7 linked regions of the Ovis aries genome follow. The protein of the gene in region 1 purifies or fractionates together with the protein of each later gene. This does not show direct contact. Links are inferred from orthologs where the notes say so. Each region holds a gene or a part of one and is shown on either strand. Other genes may lie near its edges. The genes, in order: PPP1CA, CDC5L, ADISSP, RUVBL2, PDRG1, UXT and RASSF8.

The links.
Region 2: the proteins of PPP1CA (region 1) and CDC5L purify together in Homo sapiens (affinity purification with mass spectrometry; 3 studies listed by BioGRID and IntAct, with this or other methods). This does not show direct contact. The link is inferred for Ovis aries from reciprocal best matches to the Homo sapiens genes PPP1CA and CDC5L.
Region 3: the proteins of PPP1CA (region 1) and ADISSP purify together in Homo sapiens (affinity purification with mass spectrometry; 4 studies listed by BioGRID and IntAct, counting the BioPlex papers as one, with this or other methods). This does not show direct contact. The link is inferred for Ovis aries from reciprocal best matches to the Homo sapiens genes PPP1CA and ADISSP.
Region 4: the proteins of PPP1CA (region 1) and RUVBL2 purify together in Homo sapiens (affinity purification with mass spectrometry; 4 studies listed by BioGRID and IntAct, with this or other methods). This does not show direct contact. The link is inferred for Ovis aries from reciprocal best matches to the Homo sapiens genes PPP1CA and RUVBL2.
Region 5: the proteins of PPP1CA (region 1) and PDRG1 purify together in Homo sapiens (affinity purification with mass spectrometry; 4 studies listed by BioGRID and IntAct, counting the BioPlex papers as one, with this or other methods). This does not show direct contact. The link is inferred for Ovis aries from reciprocal best matches to the Homo sapiens genes PPP1CA and PDRG1.
Region 6: the proteins of PPP1CA (region 1) and UXT purify together in Homo sapiens (affinity purification with mass spectrometry; 5 studies listed by BioGRID and IntAct, counting the BioPlex papers as one, with this or other methods). This does not show direct contact. The link is inferred for Ovis aries from reciprocal best matches to the Homo sapiens genes PPP1CA and UXT.
Region 7: the proteins of PPP1CA (region 1) and RASSF8 purify together in Homo sapiens (affinity purification with mass spectrometry; 3 studies listed by BioGRID and IntAct, counting the BioPlex papers as one, with this or other methods). This does not show direct contact. The link is inferred for Ovis aries from reciprocal best matches to the Homo sapiens genes PPP1CA and RASSF8.

What each region holds. Positions count from the first base shown.
Region 1 is NC_056074.1:41,699,855-41,703,898, forward strand, and holds the start of PPP1CA (serine/threonine-protein phosphatase PP1-alpha catalytic subunit), read right to left. Parts: upstream 2,801-4,044; 5' UTR 2,751-2,800; coding exon 2,696-2,750; intron 2,166-2,695; coding exon 2,034-2,165; intron 1,889-2,033; coding exon 1,658-1,888; intron 1,026-1,657; coding exon 921-1,025; intron 334-920; coding exon 110-333; intron 29-109; coding exon 1-28. Other genes in the region: TBC1D10C (carabin), read left to right, coding at 3,972-4,044. UniProt on the Homo sapiens protein: Protein phosphatase that associates with over 200 regulatory proteins to form highly specific holoenzymes which dephosphorylate hundreds of biological targets.
Region 2 is NC_056073.1:17,846,986-17,850,953, reverse strand, and holds the start of CDC5L (cell division cycle 5-like protein), read right to left. Parts: upstream 2,801-3,968; 5' UTR 2,687-2,800; coding exon 2,642-2,686; intron 320-2,641; coding exon 216-319; intron 1-215.
Region 3 is NC_056066.1:51,162,602-51,166,189, reverse strand, and holds the end of ADISSP (adipose-secreted signaling protein), read right to left. Parts: intron 2,523-3,588; coding exon 2,384-2,522; intron 1,522-2,383; coding exon 1,399-1,521; intron 1,162-1,398; coding exon 1,061-1,161; 3' UTR 501-1,060; downstream 1-500. UniProt on the Homo sapiens protein: Adipocyte-secreted protein (adipokine) that acts as a key regulator for white adipose tissue (WAT) thermogenesis and glucose homeostasis at least in part through activation of protein kinase A (PKA).
Region 4 is NC_056067.1:55,305,493-55,308,992, reverse strand, and holds part of RUVBL2 (ruvB-like 2), read right to left. Parts: coding exon 3,369-3,500; intron 1,585-3,368; coding exon 1,455-1,584; intron 1,309-1,454; coding exon 1,242-1,308; intron 1-1,241. UniProt on the Homo sapiens protein: Possesses single-stranded DNA-stimulated ATPase and ATP-dependent DNA helicase (5' to 3') activity; hexamerization is thought to be critical for ATP hydrolysis and adjacent subunits in the ring-like structure contribute to the ATPase activity.
Region 5 is NC_056066.1:61,134,451-61,136,877, forward strand, and holds part of PDRG1 (p53 and DNA damage-regulated protein 1), read right to left. Parts: intron 384-2,427; coding exon 202-383; 3' UTR 1-201. UniProt on the Homo sapiens protein: May play a role in chaperone-mediated protein folding.
Region 6 is NC_056080.1:57,168,961-57,172,913, forward strand, and holds the start of UXT (protein UXT), read left to right. Parts: upstream 1-1,153; 5' UTR 1,154-1,220; intron 1,221-1,406; 5' UTR 1,407-1,415; coding exon 1,416-1,513; intron 1,514-2,502; coding exon 2,503-2,584; intron 2,585-2,717; coding exon 2,718-2,785; intron 2,786-3,051; coding exon 3,052-3,159; intron 3,160-3,819; exon of another isoform or gene 3,820-3,953. UniProt on the Homo sapiens protein: Involved in gene transcription regulation. Acts in concert with the corepressor URI1 to regulate androgen receptor AR-mediated transcription. Together with URI1, associates with chromatin to the NKX3-1 promoter region.
Region 7 is NC_056056.1:189,611,432-189,615,623, forward strand, and holds the start of RASSF8 (ras association domain-containing protein 8), read right to left. Parts: upstream 2,801-4,192; 5' UTR 1-2,800.

The sequences.
Region 1 (4,044 bases):
CAAAGAACTCGTAGCCGTCTTCTACTACCTGGACGAGGGTGGAGGCGGTTAGTTCAGCAGGAGCTGGCTGCCAGCCCTGCTCTAACCCAGATGGGGGCTGCCAGCCCACCTGGTGTGCCCGGCAGATGAGGTCCAGGTCATGCTTGTGCAGGAACTTGGCCACCACCTCAGCTCCAAAGGTAAAGGAGACGCCGCGGTCATTCTCGCCCCAGCCCTGCACGTCCTTGTCAGGGTCAGACCACAGCAGGTCACAGAGCAGGCCCTGGTCAGGCACATCTGTGGGCCGCATGATGCGCCGGATCTGCTCCATGGACTGTAGGTCTGGGGACAGGCCTGGAGGGCACAGGGGGCAGGTCACCTCCTCCAGGCAGCCTTTGCCAATCAGCCTCTGCCCCCCACCTCTCCAGGATTCCTGGGAGCCTACAAAGGCAGAACTCATCACCTTCTGCCTCTTCCAAGTCCCTGTCCCTTCAAGGAGCACAGAGCTCCCTGGAGAAAGTGTTTTCGCTCAGTCGTGTCCGACTCTTTGCAACCCCATGGACTGTCCAGGCAAGAAAGCTGGAGCGAGTAGCCATTCCTTTCTTCAGGGGATCGTCCCAACCCAGGGATCAAACCTGGGTCTCCCGCATTGCAGGCAGATTCTTTACCATCTGAGCCACTAGGGAAGCCCTGGAGAAAGGGGACAAGCAAACTCCATGCAAGAAGGCGAGGCCATGACACAACAGTGGGTGCAGCCTAATGCTGCAGTGCGGGGGCACGTCATGGAAGAAGTACTACCCATACCAGGACTCCAGGGAGAGCTGTTCCTGGCGACTGGGAACACATCTTCCAGCCGACGCTTCTGTCCCAAGGTCCCCAGGGGTGCTCACCCTGGGAGGCTCATCCTGCTCAAGAATTCACATGCCCAGAGCTGTGCTCACCTCCATGGCAACAGAAGATCTTCTCGTCCACGATGGCAGCGATGGGCAGGCAGTTGAAGCAATCAGTGAAGGTCTTCCACAGTTTGATGTTGTAGCGTCTCTTGCCTGCCCAGGGGGAAGGAGACAGCTCACCAGAGGGCCTCTGCTCCACCCTCAGCCCAGGTCTCCAGGCCTTCCAGGACACATTGTGTGTTGTTCAGACACAGCTAGGAGGAGAGAATGGAAGGCAAAAAAGGAAACCGAACCCCCGCCCCCTACCCCTACTACCCCACTGCCTCCCAGACAGAATTCTAAAGCAGCCAAGTCCACGGGAACCCCAGAGTTCCACTTCTGGCACGACCTCAAGGTTGGCATCCACCCCCAGCACAAGAGCAGGGCCAGGTCGAGACAGGGTCTGGTTCATCTTGGCTTCTGTCTAACAGAGTCCAGTCCCAACAGGCATCCTAAGTGCTTAAGTATCGGATGCGCTGGAGGGGAGTGTCAGCAGGTGAGGCCCTGCCTTAGAATCCTGGCAGCCCTTCAGCCAGCAGCCACTGGCTAGGTCCCTCCTGAGTGCCAGGATCTGCTCTAGGAGGGTCGGGGAGGGTGGCATGGGCTGGTGCTACCTTCACGGCACTCAGCTTAGCAGGTGTTTGTCAGACGCTGACACCCCAGCCACCAGGTCAACACGAGGGTCGCACTGAATGGCAAGGAGAGCCCTTTAGGACCAGGGCAGCCCAGATGCTCTGCCCACTCACACTCATCATAGAAGCCGTAGATGCGGTTGATACTGGCACACTCGTGGTTCCCACGGAGCAGGAAGAAGTTCTCCGGGTACTTGATCTTATAGGCCAGCAGCAGGCAGATGGTCTCCAAAGACTGCTTGCCCCTGTCCACGTAGTCCCCCAGGAACAGGTAGTTACTTTCTGGAGGGAAGCCGCCGTACTCAAACAGCCGCAGAAGGTCATAGTACTGGCCGTGAATGTCACCTGTGACCCAGGGAACCAGGTCAGCACTAGGGCAGCCTAAACGTGAACCCAGGGTCAGGGTTGGGCCCAAGGGAGGAGAAACTTGGGAGGGGTGGGGGGCAAGGCCGCTTTCAGGAGGCCACGGGGACCTGGGCTGGGGGCTCACCGCAGATCTTGAGGGGTGCCTCCAGCTCCAGAAGAATGGGCTGGCTCAGGAAAATCTCCCGGGATTTGAGGCACAGACCACGGATCTCGTTCTCCGTCAGCTGTACATTCTTTCCAGGCCTGGAGCCCTGCACTGGGGGCGGAAAGAGGCGTCAGGACCCTGGTTCCTCAGGCAAGAAGAGGGTGAATGTCACTGGTGGCCCCAAAGGCACTTCTGGGTAGGGGCTCCTGGGCCTCCCGGCCCCGCCTTGCCCAGGGGCAGCTGTTGCTGCTGAGCCTCCTGGGACCCCCAACTGCCCTCAAGGCGCTCGCGAGGGGACTGCTGTGCGCAGAGGCCATCCAAAACCTCAGCACAGGACCCCTTCCTGGGGGACTAGGCTTCTCAGGTTTCTCCCTCAGCCAAGAGCCCAGGCCAATCCTTGCGCGCCCACCCCCGCCACCGCCAACCCCGGTTCTGCTCTGGCAAGGGGAGCAACCCCAGACCTCCCAGCGCGCCACGACTGGGGTGGGGTGGGGGCACGATGTGGCCACGGGACCTCGCGGCCCGTCCCCGCCCAGTCAAAGCTGGCCCTGGGAGGGGCAGGTCCACCCGCGCGCCACTTCCGGGCCGGGCAGGGGACCAGGGCGCGGCGGGCGCCCACCTCCCTCGCCTCCCCGGCCAACCTTCCAGCAGGCGTCCGATTATAGAGTCCAGGTTGAGCTTCTCGCTGTCGGACATGGCGGCGCCGCCGCTCTGGCCCAGCACCTCCGGGCCCTATCCTGCCTCCCGCCCTCCCGCGGCCTCCTTCCGGCCTGGTGCTCCTTCCGCCCGCCCGGGCCCGCCCCGGCCCGCCGCCCCGCCTCCTCTGCCGGCAGCCCCGCCCCGCCGCACCCGGCCCCGCCCCGGCCCGCCCGGTCGCCCGCCGCCCCTGCGCTCTAGCGCCTCCACTGGACGCCAGGCCCGGGGCCCGCGGCGGCTCGGGAGGCGGGGCTCGGGCTGACCTGGTTGCGGGGGCGGAGCCTACACTGGGGGCGGGGCTTCACGGGGCGAGGTCGACTCTAGTTCCGCCCTTGAGGAGTTACCCACCCTTGCACCGAGGATGTGCGGCCGGAAGTAGTGTGGAGTTGTTTTTCTCTTTCAAGGGCCCAATAGTCCTTCCCATTTCTGTCCCGGGCTAGAAGGTGGTGTGACCTCATTGATATCTCATTGGGTCTCCCCAGAGAGTGCAGATTAAATCCACGAAGTGCAGGAAAGGAAACAGGTTCAAAGATAGCAAGGGTTGGCTTCAGACTGACGGAGGAGCTCTCACCTCTAGGGTCCCTGTGGCCTGCGGGCGGCTGACCATACCCAGACACCTGTCGCTGAACGCCGAGCTCATTTTGGTCCCCCTGCCCGTGGCGCATGCTACACCATTACTACTATTTTTTAATGTCTCGTCGTTGTGTTTTGAGTAGCGCAGTAATGACTTACTGTTTGACTTGTCGAAAGCGTTAACAAAAGAAGTCACGTTAAATAAAGTGTAATACTCACTGGAACCCTGAATTGAGTGTTTTATTTGCCTGTGACCTCACATCTGGAGGCAGCGTGGCCTCTCTACCTCTGGCAGGCCCTGGCTGCATCACACCCAGCACAAGAACCCAGGCCTGCACCCACCTAGCCCACCGGGGTGGTGGGAGGAGCCCATGGCCCAGGGCTACTGGGGCAGGCCGGAAGAGCCCTGGAGAGGAAGGGGTAACCCCCCCCACCACGCACTTGGGAGGGGCCCTCAGCGGGTTGCTGAAGCTGTGGCTGAGGAGGAAGTGAGAGGAGGAGGTGAGGTGCAGCAGGGAGGTAAGCTGGGCCCCTTGGGACAGGGGCTGGGCCTGGGTCTCCGGTAGGGGGCCTGGCCTTTCTGCCCCTCTGGGCCTGTGCCCCACCCCCACCCCACAAGAGGAGAGGGTACCAGAGGGGTATGGTGCGATGCCCTGCAACCTGTCCTCTTTGACCAGGCGGGCAGGTCCTGGGGCTGAGGCCTGGCTGCAGAGGCGCCCCG
Region 2 (3,968 bases), on another chromosome or scaffold:
AACAATGGCAGGAGAGAGGGGACAGAAAATGGCTTGCCTAAGACCACTTACGAAGCAAAAGACAGCTAATTCTCACACTGAAATTCCCAACTCCCACTCCCTACTTTCTGTTACATCACAGTGCCTGCTTTTCTTTGGTAAGGTTCAAAGAAATGACATTTTCCTCATCATAATGAAGGTCATTTTGTGTTTTCCACTCATTAGCTGATACATACCATCTGGCTTTGCACTGCTTTGCTGACTTTCTATGCAGCAGTGAGGCAATCCTAGACCACTGGTTTTTCCCATATTTCATCACCGCTGCTTTCAGAATTTCATCCTAAATTTTTTCAAAGGAAAAACAATGTATTCATTCACAAAACTCCAAGTGAGAAAAGACAAGATTTAAATTAACTCTAACTGGGTTGTACTAGGGAGAAAGAGATATAAACACGCACGTATATCCTAAATTTAAAACAAAAGTATAAAACTTCATTACAATAATAAAAATTTAAAAAAAAACAGCAACCCAGAATCAACAAAATGAAAGAAATTAAGAACTCCCTTAGAAGGATATCCTACCCTCCCTTACACACAACCCCTCCCCCAATCCCATCCAAAAATTGAGTGGGTACAGCCCAATGTGAGAAACCCCACTTGACAGAGATTTTAAAAAGAATTCTCCAATGTGTGGTTGTTAGTCTCTTAAAAAGATTATGGCTCATTGATTTACTGATTCACAAAAAATACTGCCCAAACACCAGCCTTGTATCAGGTCTTGTATATCAATACTTGAGAAAACAAGATAAAACAGGACACATCCAGCCCTCAAAAAGTCAAGACTCAAGTGAATCCAATTTCCAATTGAGGCTTCCCAGTTTATGAACAGCATTTTCTCTCCAGTCCCACAGCCCCCACTCTCACCTAAGAATCCATATCTCAGGTCTAACCTAAGAATTGAGTACGTCTCCCCTAAGTCACCAATCAACTCTGCCTCTAATTTCCCCCCAGTCTCTAGATACTATTTCACCAGGGCACCCATTCCAATAAAGAATTCACCAATCCCAAGGGAGCCTGTCAGGCTAAACCAAAGACACCAGGGATATCAGAGCCATAGATGAATGCACTCAGGGCATTTTACTTTTAGGGTTTTTTCCCCACAATGAACTTGAGCTATATGCCTCATATGTTAGCCACTCCTCGCCACTCCACACCCCTAACATCTGAGACTCAAGGACTGCAGGGCTTTGGCCACAGCATCAGAATCCTGCTGTTACTTGATTTGGTACATCTGTCTCTCCCTCAGAAGTCATCTCTTCTCCAACTGAAACAGCCTGGTCCCCTCTGTGCAAGCTGAGAGGCAAGGTTCTCACTGACTTAATTTGTAACTTTGTTGCAGTACTGCTATACTTAATCACATCTTCAACTAAGTATATACTACAGTTATACACCCTACTAGATCCATTCAGCAAAATTTCCCAAGCAAACTTTGTTTGGCACTGTCCGGAGTTCTAAAGATAGCAAGATCTGATCCTGCGCACTTGCAGTGCTGTCTACTGGGGAAAAGAAACAGCAGGTAGTACTTTCTGAAAGATTACTATGTGCCAGACTCTGTTCTAAATATTCCAAATGCAGTGACTCATTTAATTCCGAGAGATAAGTATATTATTATCATCCCCATTAGAAACCTGAGTCTCTGAGAGGTTAATAATCCCAGCATCAAACAGGATGTGATGCTTGCAAAAAAAAAAAAAAAGCAAACCATAACAAATGGATGAGAAGAGGTGTCCAGGGACCATTGCAGGTGCAAATACTTTTTACCGGATGACCAGGCAAATGGATGGGTCTTCTGGACCAATTTCAGAAGAGTTTCTGAACTGTTTTTGAAGGAAGGTCAGAAAGATGCCAAGCAGTAGGAGGATATTTCAAGAAGGTGCAAGATGTAAAAAGACAGAGTGTTCTGGGGAAACTGACAAGTTCAGGGCACTATAAACAGAAACTGCACTAAAACCTTGTTTCTATTTTACTCTTCTACTGTTCTTTGGTTCACCAATGGCACGATCCACTACATTTCTGGAAGCAAAGAGACTATGGTAGGCCTATCTGGCTTCTACCCAACATGAAGCGGAAGAGACAGGCCTTGGGTGACCGGAGGGCGGACAAGTTACGCCGTGGTAACATGACCGCGGGGACGCGGACACAACCAGGTACTTAGGACCTGGCACTCAAACTGCTTCCCCTCAGCAAGGAACTCAAGGAAAGAACAAAGTTGTGGCCACAGCACCTCTTCATTTTTCAACAGCAAAGAGTCGCGGAGCCTGGGATGAGGAACGGTGGGGTGCGGGGGGCGGGGCTTAGAAGACCGACTATCGCAATTGTCCTGTGTCCCCCTCCTACTGTGAGTTCCACCACGGCGGAGGACGCGTCAGCTCAACAAATGTTCACTGAGGGCCTAACGAGTGCCCCGCAGGTAATCAAGCGGTTAAATCACGGTCCCTGTCCTTGAGATGCTCAGATAACTGAGGTCCAGGCACAGGGTAAAGGCCCCGCACCACCCCCCACGCAGACCCCGAAGGCATCCTCTCCACCTCCCGGACCTCTGCGCGCGTGCGCACCCGCAGCCGGAGGGGCGGAGGGCAGACGGCGGGAAAAGGGGACTTACCTCGGTATTCCTCCACACGCCCCCCTTAATCATAATTCGAGGCATCTTGGCGGCGGGGTGTCTCGGCAAGCGGCCGAGCGGAGCTTCCGAGAAGTAGTAACGGCGCGGCGGCCACGGGACCCAAAGCCGCCACTTCCTCCAAGCGCGACCTTCTGCTTTGAAGAGCTCTGCGCAAGCGCGGGGGCGGGGTGGGGAAAGAGCAGGAGTAGCAAGTCTCGCGAGAACTGGAGTGACTGGAAGGAAATAAGTGCCTCGATGGTAAAACTCTACTCTAGGGAGACTGACGGAAAATCATCAAACCACTCTAGCCAAGGTACTCGAAGCCGCGCGCATGCCCAAAATAGGTTGGAAGAAACCGCGGCTTTCGCGAGATGTCGGCGGAGGCTCTTGGCTGGGAATGTAGTCCTGGGATTGGTCGTGACGTCACGTTGTGGCAAAGAATAGGAACGTCACTCCTGTAGGGTTTAACCTCGGCTGGTCTAAAAATAGCGTTGATAATTTATTAACTTAGCACTTTATTAAGCATTTAACGAACAAGAATTTATTCAAAAAATATTCAGGGAGAGGCAATAGCTTATTTAAGCCTAAATTTCCTAACCTGCAAAATAGAGACAATAATAGTGCCAACTTCATAGGGTTTTCCTAAGGATTGAATAGGGGTTTCCCTGGAGGCTCAGGTGGTAAAAGAATCTGCCTGCAATTCGGGAAACCCGGCTTCGATCTCTGAATGGAAAAGATCCTCTGGAGAAGGAAATGGCCACCCACTCCAGTATTCTTGCCTGGAGAATTCCGTAGACAGAGGAGCCTGGCGGGGTATAGTCCATGGGGTCTCAGAGTGGCAGACGACTGAGCAATTGCTGCTGCTACTGCTAAGTCGCTTCAGTCGTGTCCGACTCTGTGCGACCCCATAGACGGCAGCCCGCCAGGCTCCCCCGTCACTGGGATTCTCCAGGCAAGAATACTGGAGTGAGTTGCCATTTCCTTCTCCAGTGCATGAAGGTGAAAAGTGAAAATGAAGTCGCTCAGTGGTGTACGACTCTTAGCGACCCCATGGACTGCAGCCCACCACGCTCCTCCATCCATGGGATTTTCCAGGCAAGAGTACTGGAGTGGGGTACCATTGCCTTCTCCGGACTGAGCAACTAACAAGGGTTAAATGAGATCGTAAATCCATCGTAGTATCTGATACCTAAGAAGTGCTCACAAAAATGGCAACTGTTACTACGAGAAGCGCAAGCTCAAGTGATCAGAGATTGTCCCAGAAACAGTCATGTCAGAGTTTTCCATTTATTGCACTTCAGTCTACATGGCTTAATATTAATAGCAG
Region 3 (3,588 bases), on another chromosome or scaffold:
GGTAGGGAGGACAGAAAGAGCACTGGTCCCAGCTCTGTCATCAATTTAGTGTACCTGCCCTCCCATGACATGCAGCAGCCCCACCTGCCTGAGAACCCTAAGGTGACAATAAAACTCAAGGTGAAACCATACCCTTCTGGTACCTCACAGGGGAGACTCCAATAGTGGAGTAGTGGAAGGGTTAGGGTGGCTAGGTTCTACAAAGGGAGCTTTTCAGCTGTGCATGGGGCTGGGAACTGACTAGAAAGGAGTGCTGCTGCCTCTGGTCAAGCCTCCCAAACTGAACACCCATTCCACAAGACCTCTCTGACCTGGGTGGAAGACCCCTCCCTGTGCAGACTCTCATTTTGGCAGGCCTAAAACGCCACCACCCGCACATACCTTTTTTGGGGCTAGGTGCTGTAATACCACAAAAAGAGTAAGTAGCCAAAACTGTTCCTCGGCCCATCTGCAAGGACTGGGCATTCTCAGGGCCCTGGAGAACAAACACCCTGCTGGCCTCTGGTATCCACTGGAAGTTTTATTTCTTCAGGACTTTATCCCAACCAGTCATTTAAAAACAACACAGACCTAGGGGGTAGGGATTGGGAACTGCATCTCCCTCCTCACCGTGGACAGCAGTGGAAAAAACGGAGTAGACAAGAGAGGTGGCTAAAGCGAGACAGCAGCAGTAGTAACGGGCAGCTCCACCACAGAGCCAGCTCCCTCCTCCCCTAGGCTCTGACTGGAGCCCTTATGGCTGGGGTGGGGGTGGGTACAAGCCACCCCAGGCCTTCCCCTGGCCCTCCTCAGATAGCCTCCTTGGGGGCTCAATCCATTTCTTCCAGCAGGAGGCTGAGGCACACAGGAGAAAGTGGGAGAAGAGGACGTTGGAGGGGCAGGGAGGTGGCACATTAAATGAGGTGAGAGGCGTGGGCAAGGCTCTAGCGTAGAGGCCCATGGACCCTCCGCCTGCACACCCACCCTGGGGAAGGGGGAGGAAGCCGCACCGTCATGCAGCATCTGGAGGATGAGGCTGGGTTTAAGGCCGAGGGCCCTGAGGCAGGTGGCACCGAGGGCCTCAGTCGAAGCCGCGCCAGTCACTATGCTCGGAGTCGTATTCTAGCTCAGCACCCACGCACCTGACGCCGTCTAGCAGCATGGGTGTGCCGTGGTGTCGGTCTGCAAGACAGGCGACAAGTCAGTATGCCAGGGTGGACCCTGGCCCCACCTACTCCAAGGAGACTCCTCTACCTTCCCTCCCAGCTCTGCTAGAGGATGGGGAGAAAGGCACCCACCAAGGAGACTGGGAATGGGCCAAAACAAGGATCCCTTTTTCAGGCTCAAGGAGGGTGGAAACTCCTTGTAGCCAAGCTGGTGCCTCCCTCCTCTAGCCAGACCTAGGCCTCAAGCTCTCACCCATGACGCGTGCCTGCACCATCACGCGCACGCAGGTGTCGGGGCCACCTTCACAGGCTAGCAGCATCTCCTCCTTGAGGACGCCCTCCTTGTGCGCTGAGTACTCACACTTGACGCTGTAACCTGCCCGGGGCGATCAGCACCTCTGTGGCCTCCTGCCCCCCAGCACTCACTGGTTCCCCACCCACCACCAAGACCTCTAGAGGAGCAAGGATGGCCCAAACTCCCCTCCACCCCTGCCCCCAGGGCTGGGTACACAGGCCTCTGGAACTTGCCATTCTTCAATGAGCTCTACATGTAGGCCAGAAGTCAAACTCAGGCTTGCAAGAGGTGGGATTCCCCAAAAACACAGGCAGGGAGAGAGGGTGATGGGGGAGGGAGGGAGGAGCAGAGCAGGGACTGAGCAGATCAGGTGGCAAGAGGCAAAGACCTGAGGAGGCTTGCTCAACCCACTTAAGGGCAAAGTCATGAAGTGGAGGTAGGGGAGACATGAAACTGAAGCTGGGGTTTCTGTAAATGGTGAAACTGATTCGCTAGCCTTTGGGAGGAGGGGTGCTGAAGGTGGCAGGGTATGGAAAAGCAACTTCAGGTCTGGTGGGGGCTGGGAGGCAGCTGCCCAAAGTTCCTGAGGTTCCAGTAGGTTTCCCCTGGCAAAGCAAGGGCTAGAGGCCCAGAGCAGTTCCTCAGAGGGCTCCCACCATCCCCCTGAAGTAACCATCAGGCGGTGAGCAGACATAGGTCAGTTGTGAACAGACATAGGTCAGTTGTATGAGCCCGTGGACTTCTGTCCAGGAGTGAGGGCTGGGGCATGGGACCTGCCAAGTTGCCACACAGCAGGCCTATAAAGAGGCATCATGTCTCCTGGTTTCTGAGCCACCCATCAGCCCTTGATAGGGGGAAGGAAGTACCCATGCTGTCACTCCTACTCACACCCAGGCTCTACTAGAGGAGGGCAAGCTTCCAGCACCCCAAGCAGGGGACGCACCTTCTGGGATGGGCATGACGCTGAGGAGCTTGAGGTGCAGGCTGGGGACAGGTGTCTCTCGGACGTCCTTGCTCAGCCTGTGCACTGGGGGTAGAGTGAAGGTAATCTCATACCTGTGCAGGATCTTCAGGAAGCCAACCTGCAGCAGGAGGGGTAGGGGATGGAGGCACCTTCACTTACAGTCTCCCCCAGGGTCCGCCCGGGTTGTACCACTGGTGATCCTGTGGGCCCTCCACTTGCGTCCTTGACAATCCCAGGGGATTCTGACTCCCTCCATCATTCTAGCTGGTTCACACCCCTGGCCTGGCAGCTCCAGGCCCTTTCCTCAAGGACCCCACCCCTATCACTTGTCCCATATCTGTCTCATGGGCCCTGAAGTTCCTTGGTGGCCCATTCTATAGATGATTAAATAGAAGCCAGGAAATGACTGGCTGAAGGCCACAGTGTGGTTGAGCTATAGTCCTCCCTGTACCTCTTGGCTACTTCTGCCACACAGCAAGGCACCAGCCACTGCCCACAGGGAAGGCTCAAAACCCCACTACACAGGCTATCCACTTGCCCCCACCACTATCAGCATGTGCCCAGGGACACTGGTCCTCTGGTCACTCATGGTGGGGCCACCAGGCAACATAGATAGCACAAGATGCAGGGTGGGTCAGAATCATAAAAACAGACTCTAGACGAGCTTTGTCCAGGGCTCGCCCACAAGACTGGCACCAGTCATGGAACCTGGAATCCAGCCTGCCCTGCTGGGACATGAACATGGATGCCTGTCCATTCAAAGGCTCACTGTGTCCAACAGCCCTGATTCACAGCCTGGGAAACTTCTGTTGTTCATACACACAGCTTTGCCATCCTCAGAAACTCAGTCATGTGACGGGTCACAGGCCAGGGTAGCTATTGGGCAGGTAGGCTGACTGGAGTGCCAGTCCAGGAAGGGCAATGTGGGTGCCGTATCCACAGCTCACAGGGCATACGCTCTCCTGCTTAGTTTCAGGAAATGGATGGCCCTGTCCTTTGAGGCAGCATTTAGCCTTTCAGTAGGATCAGGATGATGTCACTGTGTGATAAAGCTCAGTCCCTATGGCTCCAACACTCTGCTAAAAGAGGGCACACCTCTCAAGAGGGCTTTCTGGCTGTACTTGCTAATCACTGGCTGTACCCTGTGATCCAGCTGCACCACTTGCAGTATTTCCCTGGAGAAA
Region 4 (3,500 bases), on another chromosome or scaffold:
TATTCACTTTAAGTCTATTTCCACTGAAAATGAGAAGCTAATGAAAAAAGAGGAGGGTGTTCCTGCAAGACACAGAAACAGAAGGTAGGACTGTGCATCAGGTCAATGGATTTGAAGCAATTTTAGACTTCCTTTTATTTTGCATTTTATTAACACCTGTAACTTAATATTTAACAGAGAACTACAAACACTGCTGAACCTCGAAGACATACACAAAAAGTCATATATTCTTAGATTCCATCAGAGGCAAGTCCATTAAGACAGGAAGTAGATTTGTGGTTGCCAGGGACTGCAGGTGGCGTGGGAGGGGAGGAGGAGCAACTCTGAAAGGGTTGATGGTTAGTTTATGTTGTGTGATTTTATGTCAGTGAAAAACAGACCTACAGAAAAACTGAAAGAGAGAGAAAGAGATGAAGGGGAAACCAGACTATGACAGAAGACTTAAAAGACATATAAGTTTTTAAAATGGGCAGTCTTGGAATACACAGTTGGGTGATAAAAGCTAATGAAACTCCAACGGGTGAGGGCGGCTATTTCTATGGGGTACTGTGGAAAGAGGCAGAGGAAGGGGCAGGGTTGGAGGTGCTGGCTAAGTTTTAGGGTTTTTTTAAATCTTTTTTTAAAGTTTTTTTTTTTTGGATGTGGACCATTTCTTAAAGTCCTTATTGAATTTGTTATAATATTGCTTCTGCTTTGCCTTGGTTTTATGGCTGAGAGGCGCGTAGGATCTTAGCTCCCTGACCAGGAATTGAATCTGTGGTGGAATTGCGGAGTCCTAACCACTGGACCACCAGGAAGTCCTGTTAATTCTTACTGTTAGTACTGTTAGTACAGTTGAGGTACTAAGATTTATAAATCCAACGGGTCTGTAAGCCTAACTATTAGGAATTAACTGTGAGAAACTTCAAGACCTCCTCCGTCATTCCATTGCTTGGTTTGTTTTTTGGGGCAAGTATAGTTGATTTACAATATTGCGTTAATTTCTGCTGTACAGCAAAGTGATCCAGTTAGACATAAATATGTTCTTTTCCATATCCTTTTCCATTGTTCCACCACTTAGCTCACTGTGCCCCTCACAAACGGACAAACCGCCATCAATTCAACCGACCCTCTCTTGCCGGCATATGGATGACTCTAAGCTGCATCTCGAACTTTCCATGGGATTCTGACCTCAGTGCAGACCCAGCACACCCTACCCACCCCCAGCCCTTGGGGTAGCCTAGACTTGGGAGCACACTCACCGTCCCTGTGGCCGGCCGATCAATCTGGATCTCCACCACCTCCCCTTCGATGATCTCGGTCTCCTCCCTGGCGAGAGAACAGATCTAAGGAGATAGCTCGCGGCCTGGGCCCTCAGGAACTGCTCACCCCTGTGGGCCCCTGGGCACAGGACGAGCTGGCATCCCTCAGGTGGCGTCCCAAGGCTGCTGGGAGCTACCATTACTCCTGCTTACTTGATGCGCACGCCGATGGAGCGCCGGAAGGCCTGGGTCAGTGCCTCTGTCTTGCTCATCTCCAAGGAGAAGATCTCACTGCCTGCGATGGCTGTGAATGGGGTGTCGGGCCCCAAGGCCTGCGCCATGCCTGAGGAAGAGGGGAGGCAGTTTGGGTAGGTGGTCCAGGCACGAGGTCCTCACATCTCCCTAACCAGCTCTTCTTCTTCAGACAGGAAAAAGGGGCTCGGTGCTGTGGGGCAGACAGGGAGACTTGCAGAAAGTGAGTGATGGCGGGCCATGTTGGGAGGCCCTGGGTTGGAACCCCACACTGCCCAGACCAAAAACTTTATGACTCTACAGTCATGCTGGACCTGCCTCCCAACCTCTGAGAGCTGTTTAGCCTCAGGGCTTGGGGGGGATGAGCAGGGGTGGAGGCAAGGGGCTGAAAGAGGTTAAAAGAGACTGTGCAGGTTCGAATCCCGGCTTCAATGCTTAGCACCAAGTTATCTTAAGAAGCCTAAGCTGCTCCCCAAGCCAGCCTGCCCCTCTGGGTAATGGGAACCATAACATAACAAGCGCTGGCAGGGAACGACATTGCTGCATAGGAGCAATGATAAGGGCGGGCAGGCATGCCCTGGTGCTCAGCCGGGACCCCGATATGTGACCTGGGACCAGCACAGGGAAGGGCCTCCTCTATGGTCTGGGGCCTGGGGTCAGCTGGCAGACAGTGGGCAGTTCCTGCCATCACTCCAAGCTCCGGGCCTCTCTGCCAGCTCCCCTTCCTGGGGGCTCTGCCCAGCTCTGAGCCAAGTCTCCCAGACAGGAAGTCACTGAACCCTCCTGACCAGTGCGAGGTGGCAACTCTTCCTGGTCCCCTTTCCAGAGGCATGCCACACTCTGCACCTGGGTATCATGTTCCGTACTGTCTGTTCAGGAGACTCCCAGACTTCCTGCGAGTCTCAGTTCCAGTACTGACTCACCTGGGATGTCCCTCCTGACAACTGCCACCCCATTCTCTCCCCATCACCCTTCATCGGAGGAGAAGCCTCCTCTGTTCTCTACATGGACGGGACTGTGTCCACTAACACCTGCCCCAGGCTGGAAGCCCCTTAAAGTCAGGACTTTGGTCTTAATCATCTTGGTGTCCCCAAATATGAGTGTTACTTTTTCTTAACTGAGGACCTAGCTGTTGCCTTGAGTCTCACTGCCTGGCCCCACAGTCCAGGCACAAAGGTGAGAGTGAGTGGGAAGAGACTCCAGGAAACCTTCAACAAGGAAAAGATGTCAGAGAGCAGTTTTGAAGGACAGATAAGAGCTCAACAAGGATAAGGGACAGTTGTGAGTAAAAAGCTTTTAAATTACTAATGAATTGCAAAAGAGACTGCTGATTGTCTATACAATGCTCATCTTTCACATCTTCCTTTGTTCCAGAACGCCCATTTCAGTAAGGTAACAGTAGTCCCAATTAAAATATAAAAAAAAGTTTTAATGCCTCTCTCTCTCTTGTGCAGTAGAGTGTGGTCATTAACTTCTAGTCAATAAAATATAAGCAAGAGAATGTGGGTGCCCTGAGACAGCTGCTTAAAAGGAGCTCCCTCTAGGAGGTACACCCTCATTACAATTCCTTTCTCCTTCTTCTTATATGGAGTATGGGTGGGATGGCTGGAGCATAGGCCACCTTTTTGTAACCCAAGGTGTCCCTGACATGGAAGCAAGTGATCTCGAGGCAAGAAGGTAGGAGCCCTCATAGAACTGCTTAACAAGCCTGAATTGGCCTATGTTTAGACTCTTCTATGTGACAGAAGAAAGCCTTAGTGTTTAAGCCACTTCCATTCTGTGCTGTCTGTTAGACATGGCTGAACCTGACCCTGACTTACATGGGAGGATCATCCGGTGAGGCCAAAAGAGCTACTGCCTGGAGAAGCACCTTACCCATGGCAATGGCTGTCTTCCCAGTGCCTGGCTGGCCAGCAATGAGAACCGCCCGGCCAGCAATCTTCCCTTCTCGGATCATCTCCAGCACCACACCGGCTGCCCTCCGGGCCGCCAGCTGGCCCACCATGC
Region 5 (2,427 bases), on another chromosome or scaffold:
ACCTGGACCACCTGACTGAGGCCTTCTGACCCTTAGTCAGAGGTATCTTGGCCCCCACAGTCACACGTTGGCATAAAATGTGAGACACTCCATGCCATTCTTATGCCTGAAAAAAACTTGTAACGGGAATAAGATCCCACAAACTTCCTGTCCGTTCCATCTCTGGTCGGCTCAGGACAACCCTGCCCACTTCCCACAGCTTTAGTGCCACTTACCAGCTGCCCACCCCAGCCTGCAAAGTCTGTGCTCATACTGTCTCCCCCCCTTGTTTCCGGCCCCAAGCTTAGTCCCCAGGCCAATACCTTGGGCCTCAAAGAGGCGATTGACCTTCACTTTAAGTTGTTTCCGGAGTCTTTCTATTTCTTTATCCAGATGTTCCTGATCTGAAAAAAAGAGACAGGCAAACAAGACGAGGTTACACTACAGACAGACCCAAGGATACCAGCCTCTGCCCAGCCCCACTGAAGGCAGGGGTCGGAGCATGTGGGGATGAAAATGGGACTTGGGAGACCAGCTGACGAAGAAACTAAAGGCTAAAGAAGGGACATGGCCTACCCCGACCACTGAGTGAGCCCAGAACAGGGTTGAGCACACTTTTTCCCAACTTGCAGTTTATCAACCTGTTTCCATTATGCAAAGTACCCTGGGCAGTGGATGCGGAAGGCAATACCAGGATTTTAAGTCACCCTTTCACAATGAAATTATGGAAAATTCAGATTTAAGAATAAACAGACCCAGGCTCTTCGAAGATGGATGGAAAATAGGTGGTTGATGAAGTTTACAAACCCACATCCATCCAGGTGAGGAGTTTTTGCAACAGCAGGACTGTGGGAACTGTGAGCTGAACAGTCAGCATTCTGTCTCATGCTCACTCTTAACCAAGGTCATGGCAGCAGAGAGAAGGCTGTCTTACAGAATGGACTGTGCCCAAAGGCAGATGCAGCATGAGAAGTGCACCCAACTGATGACACCCAACCAATTGATGGCAGGGGAGAGAAGGCTGTCTTACAGAATGGACTGTGCCCAAAGGCAGATGCAGCGTGAGAAGTGCACCCAACTGACGACACCCAACCAATTCCATCTGCTGTTTTCACCCACTCGTGAGTGACATTTTTGCCTTTCCTACAGACCTTCATTCTTTTTGATGGTGGTAACCCAGGACCAGCTAAGCATTCTGGCCTGGGCAGTCGCTCTGGTTCTCATTGTAAATGAGTAACCACCATCTCGCATGACCTTTGTTTAGCCTGTATCCATCCCTGGGAAACAGACATGCTGCACTGGAACCCCTCTAGGTCAGTGACAAGACCACACTCGTGGGCCAAGAGAGCCGGGGCCCTGACCCTCAGCCCAGGCAGGCGAGGCCCTCTGGAAGCTTACTCTGAGCAGCCTCCAGCCCCTCTGCAAGTGCAGTGACAATTCAATTCTATAACCATGATGATAGTGTATGTTCCACTTTCTTTTCTTTTTTTTTTTAAAATGTTTATTTATTTAACTGCGTCAGGTCTTAGCTGCAATGCGTAAGTTTAGCTGTCCTTTGGCATGTGGGACCCTAGGTCCCCACCAGGGACCAAACCCGAGTCCCCTGCACTGGAATGTAGACCCTCAACCACTGGACCACAAGGAAGTCTCTAGTGGATGTTTTTCCACAGAAGTTTATCCTCAAAGCTGACTTACTTTCCTTTGATAGAATTTCAGTTTCAACAGGGATAGAGTTACCCTGTTTTCAGCGGCAGAGGCAACCGTGCTGCTGGTTCTCTTGGCCCACGTTTTCAGGGGTGAGGAAGAGAAAACATGCGTAACCTGCCCTTATCCCAGCCAAGGACCCATCTGCAGCCTGACCGTTTGCTTTCATGACTTTTCTCCAAAGAGCCTCTAGGATCATGGTTGTGAGATCCGTTGTGTACCTTACTTAGTGTGGCAAACTCGAGAGCTTCACCCTCCTTAAACCTCTATCTTCAACCCTGATGCTACTACAGGGGATGTGAAAATATGAGCACGTGCCTTAGACCAATGAGGTATCAGCAGAAGTCCCTAAGGAGTACGGTCTTATTTCCAAACCAGAAGGCAAGGCCATATATGGAGAAAGCCCTCCTACCTTTCCTCTAGCCTGGCTCTCAGACACAAGGCCTGCAATCATGACACAACAACCAAGAGAATACACTGACTCTGCTAAGCAGCTGTGCCAGTCCTGGACTGCCCATCTCTGGAAAACTTCTTACATGGGATGAACAGAACTGTATTTCCTTAAGTCCTAACTGCTAGATTTCTGTTATTTGCAATCCAACTCATTCCTCAATGACAAACAAGCACTATGCTAGGTAAATATTATTTTATCTGAACTTTACAACAACTGTGCTATGTAGACATATCCCCTTTCAGAGATTAAGAAACAACTCAGTGGCACAGCAAAGATTAAAATGCACACAG
Region 6 (3,953 bases), on another chromosome or scaffold:
AAGATAACCTATCTTGGGCAGAGGACTTCAGCAACCCTCTATTTGACGCCCCAATTAAATGACGTGATCAGCCATGAAATTAAAAGATGCTTTGCTTACTCCTTGGAGGGAAAGTTATGACCAACCTAGATAGCACATTCAAAAGCAGAGACATTACTCTGCCAACAAAGGTCCGTCTAGTCAAGGCTATGGTTTTTCCAGCGGTCATGTATGGATGTGAGAGTTGGACTGTGAGGAAAGCTGAGTGCAGAAGAATTGATGCTTTTGAACTGTGGTGTTGGAGAAGACTCTTGAGAGTCCCTTGGACTGCAAGGAGATTCAACTAGTCCATTAAAGGAGATCAGCCCTGGGTGTTCTTTGAAAGGACTGATGCTAAAGCTGAAACTCCAATACTTTGGCCACCTCATGAGAAGAGTTGACTCATTGGAAAAGACTCTGATGCTGGGAGGGATTGAAGGCAGGAGAAGAAGGGGACGACAGAGGATGAGATGTCTGGATGGCATCACCGACTCGATGGACATGAGTTTGAGTGAACTCCGGGAGTTGGTGATGGACAGGGAGACCTGGCGTACTGCAGTTCATGGGGTCACAGAGTCGGACACAACTGAGTGACTGAACTGAACTGAACTGATTAGACATAGTGCGTTATCAACCTCTGCTTGAACTCCAGTCATGGACTGCGGGCTACAGAGCTGGAGTCGTCAAAGGTGCATATCAGAAAATTTGTCTCCTTTTCAAAACTTATGTTTAATGCTGACATTTATTTCCATTATTGAAAGTCAAACCCAAGCTTCCCTTGTGAAAACTCAAAATCCAGGGCGATGCAAGGATATACTTTCCTTTTTACAGACCACATTCATAATCTTTTCTTGCCCGGCTGCTTCTGAAGCTCTGACTTTTAAACACCAAAAGCTGTACTCGCTCTGTGTGTACCGCCACCTCCGGCACCCGCCAAATCCCATTAAACCCCACCCCCAGCAACAGTGCACTATCCCCATAGGCTTGTTGCGCAGTCCAGGTTCCCACGCTCTTCAGCCTTTCTTAATCAGCGGATTTCTTAAAGCCCCGCCCTTTCCTTCTCTCCGGCGTTTTTTTCCGTTCAGGACTGCCTCACCCACCCTGGTTATTTGGTTGGCCAGCGCCCCCGCCGTACGTCATTTACCCGCGCCACCCGGAAGCCACGGTTCTTACTAACACTTCTTTTTGCCGGCGGCTTTCAGGTAACGGCAGCGCTTGGGTGTCCCTGTGTGATGGGGTCCCAGAGCTGGGAGGGGCGGAAGGCTGAACCCTCGGCATAAGCCGGACGACTCAACTCCCAACACTGAAAAGGTGCAGTTGCACTGTGCTTGAGACCAAACTGAGACCAGTGGTCTTCAACGTGGTCTTTCTCCCTCCCCATTCCTCAGGAGCCCATCATGGCGACGCCCCCTAAACGGCGGGCGGTGGAGGCCACGGCGGAGAAAGTGCTGCGCTACGAGGCTTTCATCTCTGACGTGCTGCAGCGGGACTTGCAGTAAGTGACAGAACGGGGGGCGGAGCTATTGGAGCGGTCCACGTGGTGAGCGGGGCGTTCGAAGTCAGGGCCTGGCCTTCTGATTGGTGGGTGAGGCGTTCAGAGCCCGGCCCCGTGCGCCATTCGAGGAGGAAGGAGGGGCGATATCCGGGGTGCAGCGTCGGGTGAGGAGGGAGACTTGGTGATTTAATGGTGCCTGTGTACGCGCATGCGCGGCTTCCGATGACCTTAAAGGGTTAAGAATTAGAGTTCTGAAGCTGGAGTTTTCAGGTTCGAATCCTGGCTTGACCATTTTGCTTTCCGTGTGAATACATACTTCGCCTCCACTTGCTGTGCCTCAGTTTCCTCATCTGTGAAATGGGGAAGTTAATGCAGCCTTCCCCACGGCAGTGGGTTTGTGTTTTCAGTGTATTCAGTCCTTGTAAAGGGTTTAACTTGGATACTAGAGGCTCAATGAGTATAAAAAATTATTATTACTATCATTATTAATCAGAGCAGGAAGGAGAGTGTTCAGGTCTAGGATTATGAGCTCCTAAAAGAGATGGAGGATTTTTTTCTAGGGTGAGAATGTCATATTCTGATTGGAGGGAGGCATTGGGAGTAGAGTGTAATAATACTTGTAAATAAGAGCTAACTCATATAGAGAAATTTGTTTGGAGGGCACTATTCTAAATGCCTTATAGTAAATACTCATTTAATCCTCCTAATGACTCTATGAAGTAATACTCCTCATTCCTATTTTTAAAATGGGGAAATTGAGTTCCAAAGAGATTACTCACTTGCCAAAGTCACACAGCTAGTAAAATGGAAAGCCTGGATTCAAACCGAAGCAATCTGACCCAGAGGCCAAACCTTGACTTCTGCACTAAAATTCCTGTTTAGACTCTGGTGACAGGAGAGTCTCAGGGGTTCATGGTGTGAGATATTCCAAGAGGGACAGGGTTTCCTCTTGGTCACCATTTTACTCTTGTCCTGTCATGTCCCATCAGAAAGGTCCTGGACCATCGCGACAAGGTATATGAGCAGCTGGCCAAATACCTTCAACTGAGAAATGTCATTGAGCGACTCCAGGTAAAGATGCCAGGGTTAGGTAGTCTTTTTGTGGGCAAAGGAGGGGGAAGAGAGGAGATACCCAAGACCAAAACCTGTCACCTGACCTAAAAGTTGACCACTGATCCCTACCTCTTTTTCCCTGGCCCCACAGGAAGCTAATCACTCGGAGTTATATATGCAAGTGGATTTGGGCTGTAACTTCTTCGTTGACACAGTGGTGTGAGTATCTACCTGCCCCTCTGAGCCCACAGGGTTCAGCTTCCCTTTTCCTTCATTCAGCAAATACTTTTGTTAGTATTTGCTATGAACCAGACACTGCTCGGTGCTGAAGATGTGACAGTAAATAAAATAGGACAAATTATCTGCCCACCCTGACCTTCAGTTTGGGGAAGGTGGAGGATGGGGAGTAAAATAAATATTAAACTGTGTAGTATGCTAAACAGTGACAAGGACTTCTCCACTTCTGATCACCACTGTTTCCTTAGCCCAGACACTTCACGGATCTATGTGGCCCTTGGATATGGTTTTTTCCTGGAGTTGACACTGGCAGAAGCTCTCAAGTTCATTGATCGTAAGAGCAATCTCCTCACAGAGTAAGTCCATTGCATGAGGATACTGTCTAAAACAACACCATTTGTAACATCCTTCTTCCCCCTTTCACCCTGGCTACCTGGGATGGTACCTAGGAACCACTTTCCCCTCTCTCTAGGGGAGAGAACAGTGGGGATGCAAAGCTTAGCCCCAGGTGTAGCACATAATAAGTACTCAATAAATGGTCTCTGTATTGTTCACTCACACAAAAACTTATTGGGCATTTGCTGTATGCCAGGCTCTGTGCTTGGTGTTGGGGAGGCAGTATGAACAAGACAGAAGAATTCCTTGAAAGCTTACATTCTACAAGGGCTATAACTATTACACATCAGCACAGTTTTGACCAGATCCTGGAGGTCTCAGCCTGTAAATCAGTAACAGTAAAACAAGTTACCTCTGACTTCACCTTCTGCTAATTTTCCTGCTCATTCACTGTGCTCTCATCACATTAACCTTCACAGGCTTCTTTAAATGCCCACAAAGTGATCCCACCTCAGCACAACTGCAGTAACTGTTCTCTGTCTGCCTACAGCACTTTCCCCCCGATATATGCATGGCTTCCTTTTTCCTTATTCACTTGAAGTCTTGCTTAAATGTCACTTCCTATAACCTAACTTGAAAATTGCAACCCTTGCGCTCCTGATTCCCCTCCCTTGTTCTACTTTTTCTTTTTTTCTGTAGCACTTATGACCTCCTAATGTTTACTGTGTGATTTACTTTTTTATAATGTTCATTGCCTGCTCCCATTAGGATATAAGCTTTGCAAAGGGAGAGATTTTGTCTACGTCTCAAGTCA
Region 7 (4,192 bases), on another chromosome or scaffold:
AGAACCTGCCTCCCTTGTTTTGCTGGAATAGTCATCCTTCTTTTATGGAGGTCCTGAAACAGGGATGAGTGATAACAGTATGGGGTGTGATTATTGTTGAACCTGGGCTCCAGCTCTTACCAAGCAGAAGAACCTTAATCTTGTTTCTGTTGATCACCAGGAGGGTGCTGACCTTGGTTTTATCATTTGTCCAGAGGTGAACAAGTTGACTGACTCATGACAACCACCTTTCATACGACCAGCATGTAAATCAAGATGAAATTTATTATGATTGAGTAACTGTGTCCACTGTTTAAGAGAAGCACTTGCTAGGATCCAGGAACCTGTTGAGGTGTCCTCATGCCCATGTGTTGTCCTCTTGGTGGCTACAGATGCCAGTGAACTTACCATTGTCCAGCCTGGATAAACCGAGACAAGTCTTTTCCCTACCTTAGCCCCATGTGGTTAATTCATTCTTTGTTCAGCATATAGTATAATTTGTTTTGAGCTTTCTTAGCTGTAAATCACATCCCTGTTAAGCCTTCCTGAGATCACACCAAATGTCCTTGGCAGGATTTGTAAACAACCTTTATTTCTGGTCTCTAATTATATTCCCTGAAAGTAACCTAACTTGAATAAGTGAGTATTCATGCACTTAAAGCCCTGTGACACAGTCAGATTTTATATGCAAGAGAAGAATCTGAGAGGGTGGATTCAGAAAAGAGGAGAATCCCAAGGGAGAGAGACATATGTCTCCTCTTTCCTGAATCAGTGTGAATGAACTAGTCAAAAGCACCTAGAGTTATGTTGTATGTTTTATTAGTTTCCTGCTGCTAACTGTAAACAAGTTACTGCAAACTTAGAGGCTATAAGAATGTGTTATTGCAGCACCAGAGATCAGAAATCCCAAAATCAAAATGTGGGCTGTTGTTTGTCTTGGAGGCTCTAGGGGAAAATCCACTTATTTGCCTCTTCTAGTTTCTCCATCTCTTGGCTTATGGTCTCTTTCTGCATCTTCAAGGCCACAGAATGGAATCTTCAAATCTCTCTTTTATGACTTCTGCTTCATGGTTAGGAAGACACCTCTTTTTCTGGGGTAGGCAAAGAAAGTAGAAATTGATGAAGATACATTTCTAGCCATATATGTCATGAACTGAATTATTTGCAGAAAGAAAAGATACTGTCTTCATTACTAGTGAAATTGTTATCTGAATAGCTTTTTTGACTGTGTGATTGCTGAAATGATGCCTCATTAGTCCAATAAAACCTCTTTCCTTTTGGTGACCTATATACCTGAAACCCAAGGTGTTAACACACTAAGTTCACATGTGCAGTTCATGGAAATAAATTCCTTTCTCTGGAAATCCCTGGCAACTCTTTTTGTTGTGTCTATGGAATCATATGGCTAAGCTGGAGAAATATGTATCTAGGCCAGCATTTCCCAAACTGGTCCACCAGAACACCACCTTGGAAGATGGGATGCTGGGAAGATAGTTGTACTGTGCTCAGATAAGGCCCATGAAACACAGTCGTGTCTATGGCTTAGGCCAGAAGAAGCTTGTCAGTGGGTCAGATCCATTAAGAGCCACGTGTGTTGGGAGGAAGTCCCAAGAGAGAAACAAACATTTTTGTCTCGAAGAAGGTATGTGTGCTGGAAGGAGTGAATTGTGGATTTTAACTTAGACATCCCATTATTTTCTAACTCCACTGTTTTTCCTTCTTTCCCCCTCCTTCATCACACTCTGTGTTTTACCCAGAGTACTTTAATCTCAACCAGTGGCTCAGGACCACTCCTAGGTTCTCTTACCATGTGACCCTGAAATTGCTCCCCAACCTCGCTCCCCCATCCCCTTCGTACAGCCAGGGGCTATCTTGTATTTGTCTGTGTATCCCCCGTGCATGACACAGGCCTGGCTCAGACTGGGAGCTCAATTAATATGAGTTGAAATAACAGTGAAATTAATGAATGACAGTATAAATGCAGTAAACTCATGTCACCTGCTCATGTTATATTTGCCTTGGATCATCTTTCTAATGCATAACGAGCAGAGAGTTCCATTTCCTTAAATAATAAACATAGCAGAAACATAATAAATATGGTATTGTGCTAGGTTCTGAGCTTAACGCAAATTGACATGACATAATCTCAGCCTTCTGTGAGCTCACAGTCCATCTGAGAAAAGTGGTGCTAAAGAGGAAAAAAAAAAAGTGAAGTTGCTCAGTCGTGTCCAACTCTTTGGAACCCCATGGACTGTGGCCTACCAGGCTCCTCCATCCATGGGATTCTCCAGGCAAGAGTACTGGAGTGGGTTGCCATTGCCTTCTCCAGGGGATCTTCCCAACCCAGGGATCGAACCCAGGTTTCCCGCATTGTAGGCAGACGCTTTACCATCTGAGCTGCCAGGGAAGCCCAAAAGAGGAAAAAAGGCAAATAATGCTAGTTGCCTATCCCATTCTGTTTCTCCACTTCTTTCTTAGAAATAGAAACCTGATTTTGTGCTCAATGAGAAGTTCTCTCTCACAGCCTTCCTTGCAGATAGCGGCTACTAAGTTTTGGCCCTGTGCACGGAAGGTGTTGTATGGGCCTTCCAGGAAAACTCATTTGTGTGTCCTCATTTATGAGCATGGCTGACTCAAGCACTATTCTTGCCTAAAACACAGATGTAATAGCTGGAGTTACAACTCCAGTCTTGTGACATCAAGGCCACCTAGAAGCCTGAGGTCATCTACTAAAATTTGTACAAATAGGATCATTTAGAGTTTTTCAGAAACTTACCAAGCCTGCATTTAGTCACTGTTACAAGTTTAGAAGGAAAAAAAAATAAAATCTCTCTTCAGTATGTGTGTAGAAAGCAATTAAATATGTTTTTTTTTATCCTTCCTAATGAAAATCTTGTACACATACTGAAACACAGCAAAGATCTATAATTATTGTGATTTACTTGACCAACATAAAGGGCCTTTTTAGAAACAACCAACAATTCTCAGATCTATAAGAATTTTTAATTTAATGATAGTTTCTTGTTTAAAAAAATAATAAAACATTTAGATACCAAATCATAAACAGCTCCTTAAAAGACCCTCTAATAACATGATGGGGCAGGAGGATGACGATCAATATGTTTTATTAAACAGTGAAAAGCAGTATGAAAAGAAAAAGCATAAACTATAAAAGGAAATTATAACAGGGTATATCAAAAGGAATAAATGCAAATATATTTAGAAATAGGATTTAAAATGTGATTGGCTTCTTATTTAGGTAGAAGTTTTTGAGAGGCTAATACCATGAAAGTTTTCTTATTTTTTTAATTATAGGCTAGAAGAGTAGATTTAGTCAGCTGAGACTAGCTCAGCAAGAGCCTGTACTGGGATTAGAATATTGGGGAAAAACAGTGAATGCAGTGCTTGATGTTATGAAGTTGTACCTTTGTAAATATATGCAGTAAAATCTGAACTGTCTGACATTCTTTCAGCCTGAAAGCCACTCACCAACTCCCTCCATGTTTCCAGTGCTATAATTGGGGTTTATAATGATGATCCCATATGACTCTGAATTATAGCAGCAAGATTAAATTATCTTCTGCTTTGCCTTCATGTATTCAATTATATATTTTTATTAATTGCAAACTGGAAATCTGATCTGTTTATAACACTGCTGGTTTAACCAGAGCCTCCTTATCAAGGACCCAGTCATGGACAATAATACAGTTTATAGTTCCTGGAAAGGAAACAGCCCCACAACGAATTTAAAATGTGAGATTTATATGATCATAGTAAGAATAATTAGTATAAAATAATTTAGAATCATTCAGCAACATTTGAAAGAACTGTAACATATATTGAGTAATAATAAATGCTGCACATCCAATTCTTTTAACAAGTATAATAATTCATATTCTGTAAGAAGAGAGAAATTAGAGTATGAACAAAGTAAATCTTCATTTCAAATTTGGTAGAAGGTGGACTGTTAATGTTAGCAGAAGGGCAGATATTAGGTATAGGGCCAGGAATAGGGAGCAGCAGAGGATGAGATGGTTGGATGGCATCACCGACTCAATGGCCATGAATTTGAGCAAACTCTGGGAGATAATGGAGGACAGAGGAGCCTGGCATGCCGCACTCCATGGGGTGGCAAAGAGTCAGACACGACTTAGTAACTGACCATCGACAACTGGAATATTATACACTGAGTGGGATTATATGTCCCCATTTG